2 linked regions of the Drosophila melanogaster genome follow. The protein of the gene in region 2 purifies or fractionates together with the protein of the main gene of each other region. This does not show direct contact. Each region holds a gene or a part of one and is shown on either strand. Other genes may lie near its edges.

What was found. Proteins that work in one complex are often made in the same cells at the same time.
Region 1: the proteins of nSMase (region 2) and CG7071 purify together in Drosophila melanogaster (affinity purification with mass spectrometry, with the first as the bait; one large-scale study listed by BioGRID). This does not show direct contact.

Annotation. Positions count from the first base shown.
Region 1 is NT_033777.3:22,361,061-22,365,900, forward strand, and holds CG7071 (uncharacterized protein), read left to right. Parts: upstream 1-1,559; 5' UTR 1,560-1,855; coding exon of another isoform or gene 1,856-1,886; exon of another isoform or gene 1,887-1,946; coding exon of another isoform or gene 1,947-2,227; intron 2,228-2,293; coding exon of another isoform or gene 2,294-2,464; 5' UTR 2,465-2,469; coding exon 2,470-3,067; intron 3,068-3,136; coding exon 3,137-3,447; 3' UTR 3,448-3,520; downstream 3,521-4,840. Other genes in the region: JMJD6 (jumonji domain containing 6), read right to left, coding at 9-1,235; muted, read left to right, coding at 1,856-1,886, 1,947-2,227, 2,294-2,464; CG5382 (uncharacterized protein), read right to left, coding at 3,608-3,897, 3,959-4,160, 4,216-4,409, 4,477-4,588, 4,652-4,753.
Region 2 is NT_037436.4:3,216,361-3,222,246, reverse strand, and holds nSMase (neutral sphingomyelinase), read right to left. Parts: upstream 3,092-5,886; 5' UTR 2,944-3,091; coding exon 2,903-2,943; intron 2,817-2,902; coding exon 1,529-2,816; 3' UTR 1,322-1,528; downstream 1-1,321. Other genes in the region: RpL28 (ribosomal protein L28), read left to right, coding at 273-365, 538-780, 964-1,062; hob (hobbit), read left to right, coding at 3,443-3,495, 3,576-3,702, 3,759-4,301, 4,354-4,629, 4,684-4,827, 4,884-5,886.

The DNA.
Region 1 (4,840 bases), on a different chromosome or scaffold from region 2:
TCCCTGGATCAGGAACGCGATGATCCGCCCATGGAGCCGGACCCGGAGCCGCCGCCAGCCATGCGCCGCTTCTTTTTCTTCTTGGCCGTCAGACTCTCCTGGCCGCTGTCCGTGTTGGAATCGCCGCCATCGTCGCTCTCCTCCTCCTCCGAAGACGAGGAGCTGCTCGACGAGGAGGAGCTTGAATTGCTGGAGCTGTCCGATGCGAAGCCGGTGCTCTCGTTCAGGTTAATACTATCGGCGATCTGGGCCAGCTCCGGTCGCTGGTCTCGCAGCACGCGCAGCCACTTGCGTGACAACTTTGGCCGGCCGCGAACAGTCTTGTGCCAGACGCAGGGGAAGTTCGTCTGCGAACTGAAGTTCTGGGTGATGGCAATGGTGTCGTCCATGTTGAGCACCACGTGCCACCAGCCGCCGGGCACGAATACAGTCTCGCCTGCTCCCTGCAGCACTTCGATGGGGCGGTATTGCTCCGGCCAACTAGGCAGCTGGGTGCGCGGATATATGGTGCTGAACCAGGTGATGGCCTCGTCTCGCTGCTTGCCACCCATGGCACTGGTGACCTTGAGCAGCTCCTTGGGCGTTTGGGTGGGGAACAGGCACCAGCGCTTGTGGCCGCGGATCAGCGTGTTCCAGGCACTAGTGCCCAGTGGATCAATGTGGATGCCGGTGCCGGAGCGAGCCGGTCCCATGACAAACCAGCGGTAAGGCGGACGACGATTCTCGCCGCAGTACTGGAAGAGGTCGTCGCGAAAATACTTGGGCACCACATAGTCATCCAGGAGCTTGCGCCGACGATGGTGTTCGCCGAAGCTGCTGTCGAAGATGTACAGCGGGCTGTCATCGCGCGTGCTCTGCATGTACTCCACGTAGTACTTCATCTTCATCTTGACGCTATAGCCCTCGTTGTCCTCGCCGCACTTGAACTTCTGGTTGCGATACTTCTTGGCCAGGCGGGCTAGTGTCCACTTTTCCAGCGCCAACCAGCCATCGGTGCAGCCGCGAATGACCACCGGCTTGTAGGGTCGCTCGAAGCGTTCGATGAACTCCGACTCCGGCACCTGCGACTCCTCGATCCGCTCCAGGTTATCGGTGAAATCCCAAAATGGCTCGAACTTCTCACAGTACCGCATGGCCGACCAGGCATTCTCGCCGTCCAGCTCCGGACGAGCCTTGCGCTTCACCTCACGTGTGCGCTTGCGGGAACGCTTGGGCAGCTTGAATTCCTCGCTCATCCTGCTGAAATTGGCCAATTTTCCACAGCTCCTGGAAATTAAAGCAGCGTGAGTGCAGTGTGGCCAGACGCCGCAGGTTCGAACATGCTGAAAACGCGACGCGGGACCGCACCTGGTCACTCAGCTGGTCGCCAGACAAGCACTCCTTTACTGGTTTTATCAGATGTTTACCGAGTAAACGGACATTTTCAAAACATTTCATTATTAAAGAATTGTACACAGGTCCAGTATGAACCAGCCCATACATAAAAGAACCTAAATGGTAGTAGTGCGCTACTACCCCATGTTCCCCATGTTCCAAACTCAACCGTTCCCCCACCAACGCTCACTTAAATTTAACCCTCGCGAGTGTAAGTTGTATTTTCATTGAGAGCCAGGGCTGCAAGACTTTAAGGTGACCAGCGTTTGTTAGCCAAATTCAAAGTACAAAATAAATAAAATTAAAAATAAAACTATTGTGAGCAGGATCTTTCATACTATCTGTGCTAAAGCACAGGCCTCAAAAGCAATGCAAAAATTAATGGATAAATAACTTAAGATAACATCTTAAGTATATCATACGATATACGATAGTGGAAGCCCTGGTTCGCTACGATTTCTCATGTGACAGCTGTGGGCGAATGAAAATAATGATAAGCCAAGTCGGACGAGGTGGAGTTTTTGAAAAGCAGTGTAAAATCGTTAATAACCAGGTGCTACCAACTCTTCCAGAGCTCTACAAGGTGCCGCTTCGCATTCTAGACCATCGCGTGTTCGTAAACGGCGAGATCGAGGCCTTTCTTGAGAACTTCGAGGTGCGGCGCAACGACAGCGAAGTGGAGAAACTTTTCCAGGTCACCGAAACAGTGGGATCTCTGAAGTACGATCTGTCCCGGTGCAGTGCAACCGGAAGGGGTAGCGGAGCCGAGAACCTCGCCCAACTGGACACGGAAGTCAGCCATCTGCTGGACGGGGTCAACGCACTCTTGGCGAAAGCGAAGGTGGAACGAACTGTTAGTGGGCCAGCGTAATCTCCGCCTGTTTATCATTGATTAATTGGTCTTCCGTTCGAATTGCAGGCTAGCACCCAGTTGCAGGAGGCGCGACTGGCACGTGAGCAACGCCGGGCGGAGTTCCTAACCAATTTGGAGCACGGCTATCGCCGAATCGAGAACTCATTCGAGGAGAAGGAGGAGGAAATCGCAGAGCTTTACTCAGATTTGCAACTAAAGCTTAACATTGCCAAGTAGAAACTATGCTGAAGTCAACGATTGTTGATCCGCGGGTGCGCCTTGTGCCGTCAAAGAAGCTGCTTGACTTTCTGGACGCCCAAAAGAAGCACTTAAAGGAGTTGCCCGAAAATGTGGCCAAGATTATGAAGCAAAGAGGCCACACACTGCCCACCTCTATTAGGATTATCAAGGATGCGGGCTTGGAGTACAAACGACCAAAACTCAATTACGAGCTGTTGACAAAACTAACTGAAAACCTAGCCGACAAACCAGAAGAACCTGCTAAGGATAAATCGGAACCAGATTCAGGGGTCAAGGATAGTGATGACGCAAAGTCAACAAGGGAGGTTAAACATTTCCTATACTTAACCGACCTGCACTGGCTCTCAAAAACACTGGCTGAACTGCGTCGTCAGGATCACTGCCAAGTCTTTCTGCATCAGCTAATTGAGTCCTGTGATCTGCTCCTGCCCGAAAACGAAATGAAGCCGCGCAATCCTGAGCTAGAAGCGCGCTGCCAACGTCTTCGCGCAGAGCAACAAAATCGGGATTACCTCAAAATGACCAAGAATGTGGATGCCGGCTTAAAACACTATCCAGAGGACACTATCAGCTATCAGAGTAAGTGAATACGCCCAGCTTGTTAGATCCGCCCTTTTAAAACCTTTTTCTTCTTCCCTTCCCTTTCAGTTAAGAGCCTTAACAAGCAAATCATTGCCGTGGTGCAGTTCATCTTCTCCGTGGCCGCTGGCTTTACGTTCGGCTTTTTCGGCGTCAATTTGATGGTGGGCCCGCTGCCTTTCGGCTTTCGCATCTTGCTGGGCGTGATTGTAGCGCTCATCATAGCCCTGGCTGAGATGTACTTCCTGGCCAAGAAGCTGCACGAGTACGATGAGGTCTTGGACGCGCCCAAACGTAAGCCGCAGCCATCGACGCCGGCTAAGCGCACCCCGCCCGCCGAGGGAAGTCAAGTCCAGACATTGAAACCCCATGTTGACTAGATAGATGATCTGCGAGTAAAAATCGTTCTTTGTCGTTGTATTATTTCGCTTTGCAATGTTAGGTTATATAAATAGCTGTAAAAGTTTTATTCTTTCGGAATCGGGGACTTGGATATCGATTATATGCTACGTATGCTTATTTCGACCGTGAATGCACACCCTATTCGTAGTGGTTCGGCTGTGGATTGGGGTTATTCCAGCCCTCGTCCACGGCATCAGATCCTCCGCGACCCAGCCAGGCCATAAGATAGACGAACAAGACAAAGGCCAAAATGCCGGCGGTCACCAGGAACCAAGTGCGACGCCACGGCGGCCGCGAGGAGGGCGCATAGAAGCGGCGTGTCCATCGCGAGAACAATTCCGCAGGAGTGCGGCGCTGGTACTTATTATCGTCTCGATCTGTCCCACCAATTGGCGACTGACGGGGCAGCAGCGGTCTTCTGCTGCTGGCTGCAGGTGCGTAAGATTATAATTATAATATGACTCAAAGTGTATGCTAGATTATGCGCACCGTAGTCGCCCGCACTTGGGGGATTAAATGCATCCATTAGGAGCACGGAATGTGGGCTCACGGCGTCATGGCCATTGGGCTTCGTGCGCTCTCGCTCGCCACCGGAATGGATGTGGTGCACTTTGGTCATGTTGCTGACAGCCGCCTGGCTTGCCACCTTGGGCTTAATGGCCTTCAGACTGCTGCTCTGCTCCTCAGAGAGCTGGGAAAGATTCAACATTTAAATTGATTACAAGCTTACTGCCCGGAATGCTTACCAGGGCGAGTCCCAGGCCATTTCTGCCCCAGTTAACCTGCGACAGGAAACTCTTCAGAGCATCGGCCACCGGGGAGACCAGGTTGGCGTTGGGAAAGATCTCCACACTGCAGGCGGGGCACTGGTGACCCCGAGGGGCTGTGTTGGCAGGCAGTGCGGCTTGGCGGGCGTTCAGGCAGTCCCAGTGGAAAACATCTGGAAATGGCAGGATTATGGGTAAGTGTGTGGTGTCTGGATTAGCTCAAAACTGGCAGATCCCTACGGTAGCAGACGAGGCGCACGCAATCGCCCTGCTCCAATGTGGTGCCGCACAGAGTGCAGTTGGAGATGTAGTCGCTGTCCCGCAGCCACTGCAGATACGACTGCACAATGCACTGAAAAAGAGTGGATATGGTGTATTCCAAGCATCCATAAAACTAGAGGACAGGAATCCTTACCTTTGGATGAGACTGAACCATACAGTGTTCGCAAACATTGACTCGATGCTCAAAGCAAAACTGGTTGGTCACCAGGCGCTTGGGGCACTTGCACAAACCCATTTCCTTAAATTCGGGGTTCCTAAGGCGGCGGAGGAATTGCACTTGGCGGCCTTGGGACAGCTATCGCATAATAACGCCTCAATAAAA
Region 2 (5,886 bases):
AAATTAATATAGAAATTATTAATCTAATCACGAAATTTGTTTTTATTTCATGTTCCCCTTTCTTGCTTGCGTTTCTGGCGATTTGATCAAAAAGGTAAGCATTAAAATCTATATTGAGTACTTCAGTTGTGGCTTAATGAGGATTGATTTAGCAGAAGAGTTCTTGAAGACTATATTCATCACCCAAAACTGAAATACCTTTGAAAAACTTTAAATATGGCTTTTTCCTGAGCAATTACTAATATGTTCTTAACTTCTATTCCAGACGTGAGATGGCAACCTCTTCGCACCTCAATTGGTTGATCATTCGCAACAACAACGCCTTCTTGTTGAAGAAGCGCGATGTGAAGAAGCCCTTCAGCACAGTAAGTAAATATGGATTTAAATAACGTGCACCACATTTAAATGATGTTTCCAACTTATAACTTTCACAATGATATTTGAATACAACATGATAGTAACTTTAATCTGATAAAAGTTGGCTTCATCACTACTATGATATGACAAGCACATTACTGACTTCTAAATCCCTTCCAGGAGCCAAACAACTTGGCCAGCGTGAGCTCGTACCGCTACAGCGGCATCGTGCACAAGAAGACCCTGGGAGTCGTGCCAGCTGCCGACAAGAAGGGCTTCACCGCCGTGCTGAAGAAGGGCAAGTATGCCCAGCGCCCCGCCAAGAACACCGTGCGTGTTGACTTCAAGGCCGGTCCCCGCCGTTCCCTGAAGAAGCTGAAGAACCTGCTTATCGGCTCCAAGTACCGCAAGGACCTGACACAGGTGATTATGGCTCCAAGCCTAGAAACAACTGTTTGGGTTCTTGTCATGATGATCTTTTTTTTAATGCTACACAACCAAGATCGCAGAATGATCGTGTTGATAAACTTATCTGAAGCTCTCAAAGCTGAAGCTTATCGTACTTCAGTGTTAGGCCTATTCTAATGATTTTACTTGTGCTTATAGGCTGCCCTCCGCCGCGCTTCCGCTGTCCTGCGCTCCCAGAAGCCCGCCCCCGTCAAGGGAAAGAAGGCCGAGTTTGCTAAGGGAAAGAAGCCCGAATAAACTGTACCAGATTGGGGCTATGCGGAGCTGTTTTCTACTCGAGAATAAAGAAAAAATATTAAAAACACCGTAATATTAATACAGTTCTGTGGTTATTTGTCGATAATGGGTAGCGACCAAGTACTGCATACTTTGGGGCGGTAGTTATGAAATTTTCTATAACCATGAATGAGCTTACCATATATATTGTTGCTTATTAAACGACAAACTATATTATTGTTGATACAAAAGGTATCTTTAGATCAATCAATCTTTGTTTGCCTAAATGATTCTCACTTTTATTGAACTATTATTCCTGGGATATGGATGACGTTACACAGAAAGAGACCATGGAATTGCATTGACGGTTACACGAATAAAAAGATCAAGTAAGAGCGCTATAACTCTAGTCAAACATATATCGCTGCTTATAGTACGCTACACGTGGATTTTAAATGCGCATTGAGCTTGGCTGCTATACACAGCCTCAGTAGAAGTACTCGTACTTCTGGGCGTGGTGCAGCATCACCTCCATCGACTTCTTGCCCTGCAGGACCCCATTTCGTTCCATATAGTTCCAGATGGAGGCCATGAAGACGCAGAACAGGATCACGCCAAACACGATGAACTTGAGCAGCAGAAAGATAGTGCGCATGCCCACGGGGGCGGTGAACTCCACCAGAAGGACCAAGAGGACAAACAGGAAGGTGGCGGCGCTGTAGTACAGTATTCGATCAGTGTTTAACTGCAGCAGGGAAGCATCGCACAGCGCCAGAGCTTCAAGAAGGGCAGCAGTTCTAGCGGCGGGCATGGATTGAATGGAAGTGGAGCTTCCATTGCATTGGATCTCCGGCTGGTGTTGTGATGACTGATCGTCCTCTCCTGTCAAAGCATCCCCTGCTCCTACTTCCCTCACGGAACAGGTTTCACCATCCTCTACCAGGCAGTTCACCTCGATCGTTGCCACTGGCTCCTCACTTCTAGGTTCCAGCTTGAATAACTTCAGCTTGGCCATCACCGCCTCGTGGTCGGAGAAGCTAAATTTCTCGCCGGGTACTCGCTCCGGAAAAGGCAGTTTGTATTCGGCTATCTCAGCATTTACATGATCGCCACCACGCACAAAGATGTGATCGATACGGATACCCAGAGGATTTCTCTCCCGTGCTTGCTTAGATGTGTATGAGTTGTGTTCGCATTCGTTGGTCCGAAAAGAGTCCGAGTCGCAGCTGTCGAGCATCTTGGAGGTATAGAGCAGCACCTTGTAAGAGATGTCCTGTGGCTGGGCATTCAGGTCGCCAGCCAGAATCTGCAGCGCAGAGTTCCCCCTGGTGGCTTCAATGAATTGAGCAGTATCGAAGGCCTGAATAACGCGATGTGTCTTGTACTCGTCGTTGGCATTGTCGTACTCCGCGTGCAGGTGGGCATTATATAGGTGCACCATCTGCCCGCCGACGAGTATGCGGCACAGGCCCACACCTTTGCCGCCGAACCAATCGGCATGCTGAATACGGTGGAAGTAGCCATTTACGGACCACGCATGAAACAGAGTGCCCAGGATGGGGTACTTGGACAGTACCAGCAGACCGGCGCCCATCACGCCGCTGTGAAAGTAGTGGCTATGGGGCAGGACCGCCTCCGTGCCCTTTTGGAGTAGCTCGCTGTCCTCTTGCGCCCACACCTCCTGCAGGGACACGATGTCATACTTCCCGCTAGCCAGCTCCTTGCAGATGGCATCGATGCGGGGTCTGCGATCACTCGACACATACGGAATGCCCCTGAAAGTGCACATGATTAGCCTGTGCAGATCGGTGTCAAGGGAAGTGGGGCTCCAGCAGCCTTAGAAGGAGATGCCTGCTCTCACCATATATTCAGGGTCAGAATGTTCAGCTCCAGCAGCAACATAGCGACTTCTTTGGCCAATTTTCACGTTCGCATGCTTACAATGGAATAACGGGCGCGGGAGCAGCGATAAGATAACTTTTTGATTTTGTTATTTTTAAAAGATATAAAGCCACAGTGTGACCGTCTGGGGAAAGCCGAAATTTAATAAAGCCTGAACCCCTGACGAGCTTTGTTGATGCGACAAGTCAAAGTCGCACATGAACAGGGATGCATTTCTTTGCATTATTAATTTCTAATTGAGAATGCATTTTCTTTTTATACACTGTAACTAAAATTTTGGTAATTGCGGTAATTGTTTAAGTTATGCATTTTGCGAACAAGCTTGTCTTGCAAGGGCTAAGTATTTGAAAAACTGATAGCTTATTGTGGTATTTTTGAATAGTATGCATTGGTCACTCTATTGCCGCAACTAGTAAATTGTTCAGTATTTAGTCAAAAAATTTCAAAACATAAATAGCACAACATAAATGTTGGGACACTATGGTATTTAGGCAACAACATGATGCTACAGCTACTTCTATTCTGCCTGGCGCTCTTCATCTTCGTTTATTGGTTAGTTTTGCCTGTTCCGTGGCCCCATGATTGATCCATCATCGTTATAAACATAAAAAATTGATCACTTTCCATTTTAGGGTCTTGCCCACGGGCATTAGTTGGTATTTGGTGAAGAGGTTTCGGGTCAAAGTACGGATCGGTCGCATTTCGCTGCCCTACTTGTCCCTGAAGAATGTGCACATCAGCAAGAGTGGATTCTCGGTGGTATGGATAACCTTCGAACTCTGGTTACCAAGCGATAAACACTCCTAATTTTACAGCAAATCGAGGAGGTGTGTCTGCGCAGCAGTTTCTTCACCACCGAGGTGACCAAGCTGCTCTCCATTTATATCCGTGACATTCGCATCAACAAAGACATTCACAGTCGACAGGATGACTCCTACGACCAGGACTCTTACGAACTCCGGCGGACTCAGACGTTGGCGGGCAAAGCCTCGGAGGCGAAGGGTGTGCCAGACTTCCGGCAAACTAAGGTGCCGGCGAGTATTATCACCTTTGCCCAATTTATGGCAGTGCACGTGAACAACATATCAGTGGTTCTGATGAACAATGACTTTGATCCGGGGTGGTTCATCCATGCCACGGCGAAGGAGCTTCATTTGGACGGGAGTATAGTGCAAAATGCTCGTGTTCTGTTGGTCAATGCAGCCCTTAGCGAAGCACAGGCCAAGATGCTGAGGCACTGCAGCTCTCGCCGTCAATCGCTGGAGAATCTGAACAAGATTCGTCCTTGCCTAGGCGAGGTCAGCTTTGACATGACCCTGGATGCGTCGCTCTTTGCCCAAGGCCCTCTGTCCATGGATGTAAGTGACTTTTTGACTCCTTAGTATTCCTTTTATTAATTCCCGTTTGCAGACCCTAAGTCTGGTCATCAACAATGCCAAATCCGTCATCCACGGCGGACTGTACGAGTTCCTTAGTGAGGCCAAGCGGAGGACATCGACCGGTCAGCCATCTCGGCGCTCCACTCAAGGCCTAGCTCCCTCGAAAAGGTCCTACGACAATGACAACTACGAGAAGCTGGCGCCCATTATACCAAAGAACTTTAACTTTAGCATTAAGGCGGCAACGTTTTCGGCCGTCAAAGAAAACTCACAGAACGATTTTAGTGCCAAACTGCAGTCGTTTCAAGTAGGTTAATACCACTACTATGAGCTAATCTATAATAATACATAATCTGCACAGATCTCGGGAAAGTTTAACTCGAAAGTCACCGATGAAAAGACGTTGTTACCGTCAATGCTTGCCAAATTGGGTTTTCATCATCTAGACATTGACACCAAATATGAAAAGCTCCTCTTTGTAGAACAATTTACCATAGACTCTGTGGTAAGTAAACACATTATGGCCCAATTAGTGCAATATTATAATACTATACCTTTCAGCTGGAAAAAGACATATTCAACTTGTATGTAAAACTGAAGACATTCCAAATCATATATAATCACAGCGAGATCTATGACTTTGTCAACAACAATTTTCTGGCCCGCCAGCGATCGAGCGAAGCGCAGCCAATGCAGTTGATACATAAGCAGAAGTCCCTGCCGGATCACTTGGATCTGGACACGGCTGTGCAGAGTAATCTGCGAGCGAATCAGCGACGGGAGGGCGGAGTTCTAGAGTGGATTATGCAGCGAATTGTTGTTAAAGGCTGTGCGGAACTGTTTAATGTCTCTCTTCTTATGAAACTGGAAGATGAGCATATTGCCATGAGTGTGAGTCACACAAGATTCCTCTTGGAGCAGATCGAGGAAAAGCGAAGTAATCTCTATGAGAACAAGTTCCTCAATTTGTTGTTGAATCAACGACAATGGAGCATGGAACTCATGGTGGAAACTCTTTGGTCAAATCTAGGTAACTCCATCAACGACACCAACAACTTGAAAAAGACTCATTCGCCAGGCTCGCCGTTTTTCCTCGGAGTGAGCTTGGTCAAGCTCTGCTCGTATGCAAACACCACTAAACTGGACATATCAGTGCACACATTTCGCACGGAATACAGCATGCAGCTTGCGGAATTCGTGGTCAAGTCAATGGAGTGCCTTCGGCAGTACCGGGGCATAAAACCAAAGAATATGTCGGGACAATCTCACGCCAGACCAAATGCAGGCCTTACATTGTCCGTGCAGCCATCACAATCATCTACCTCACTGCGGGTGTCTGTTAAGGTCAAGGATATTACGGCTTACTTTGTCAATCATCACAATGTTTATTCGCTGCTCAGTTTCTCAGAGCTGAATTTATCACGGTCTCAAAGCCTGACCACCCTAAAGCTCGAAGAGTTTCAGATGGCTATAATGCGCTCAATGACGGCTTCTTCGCTTTGCCTCACCGACTTCTCTGACGTTTTTGCTACATGCAAAATGATACGACTGGAGCATGAACAAG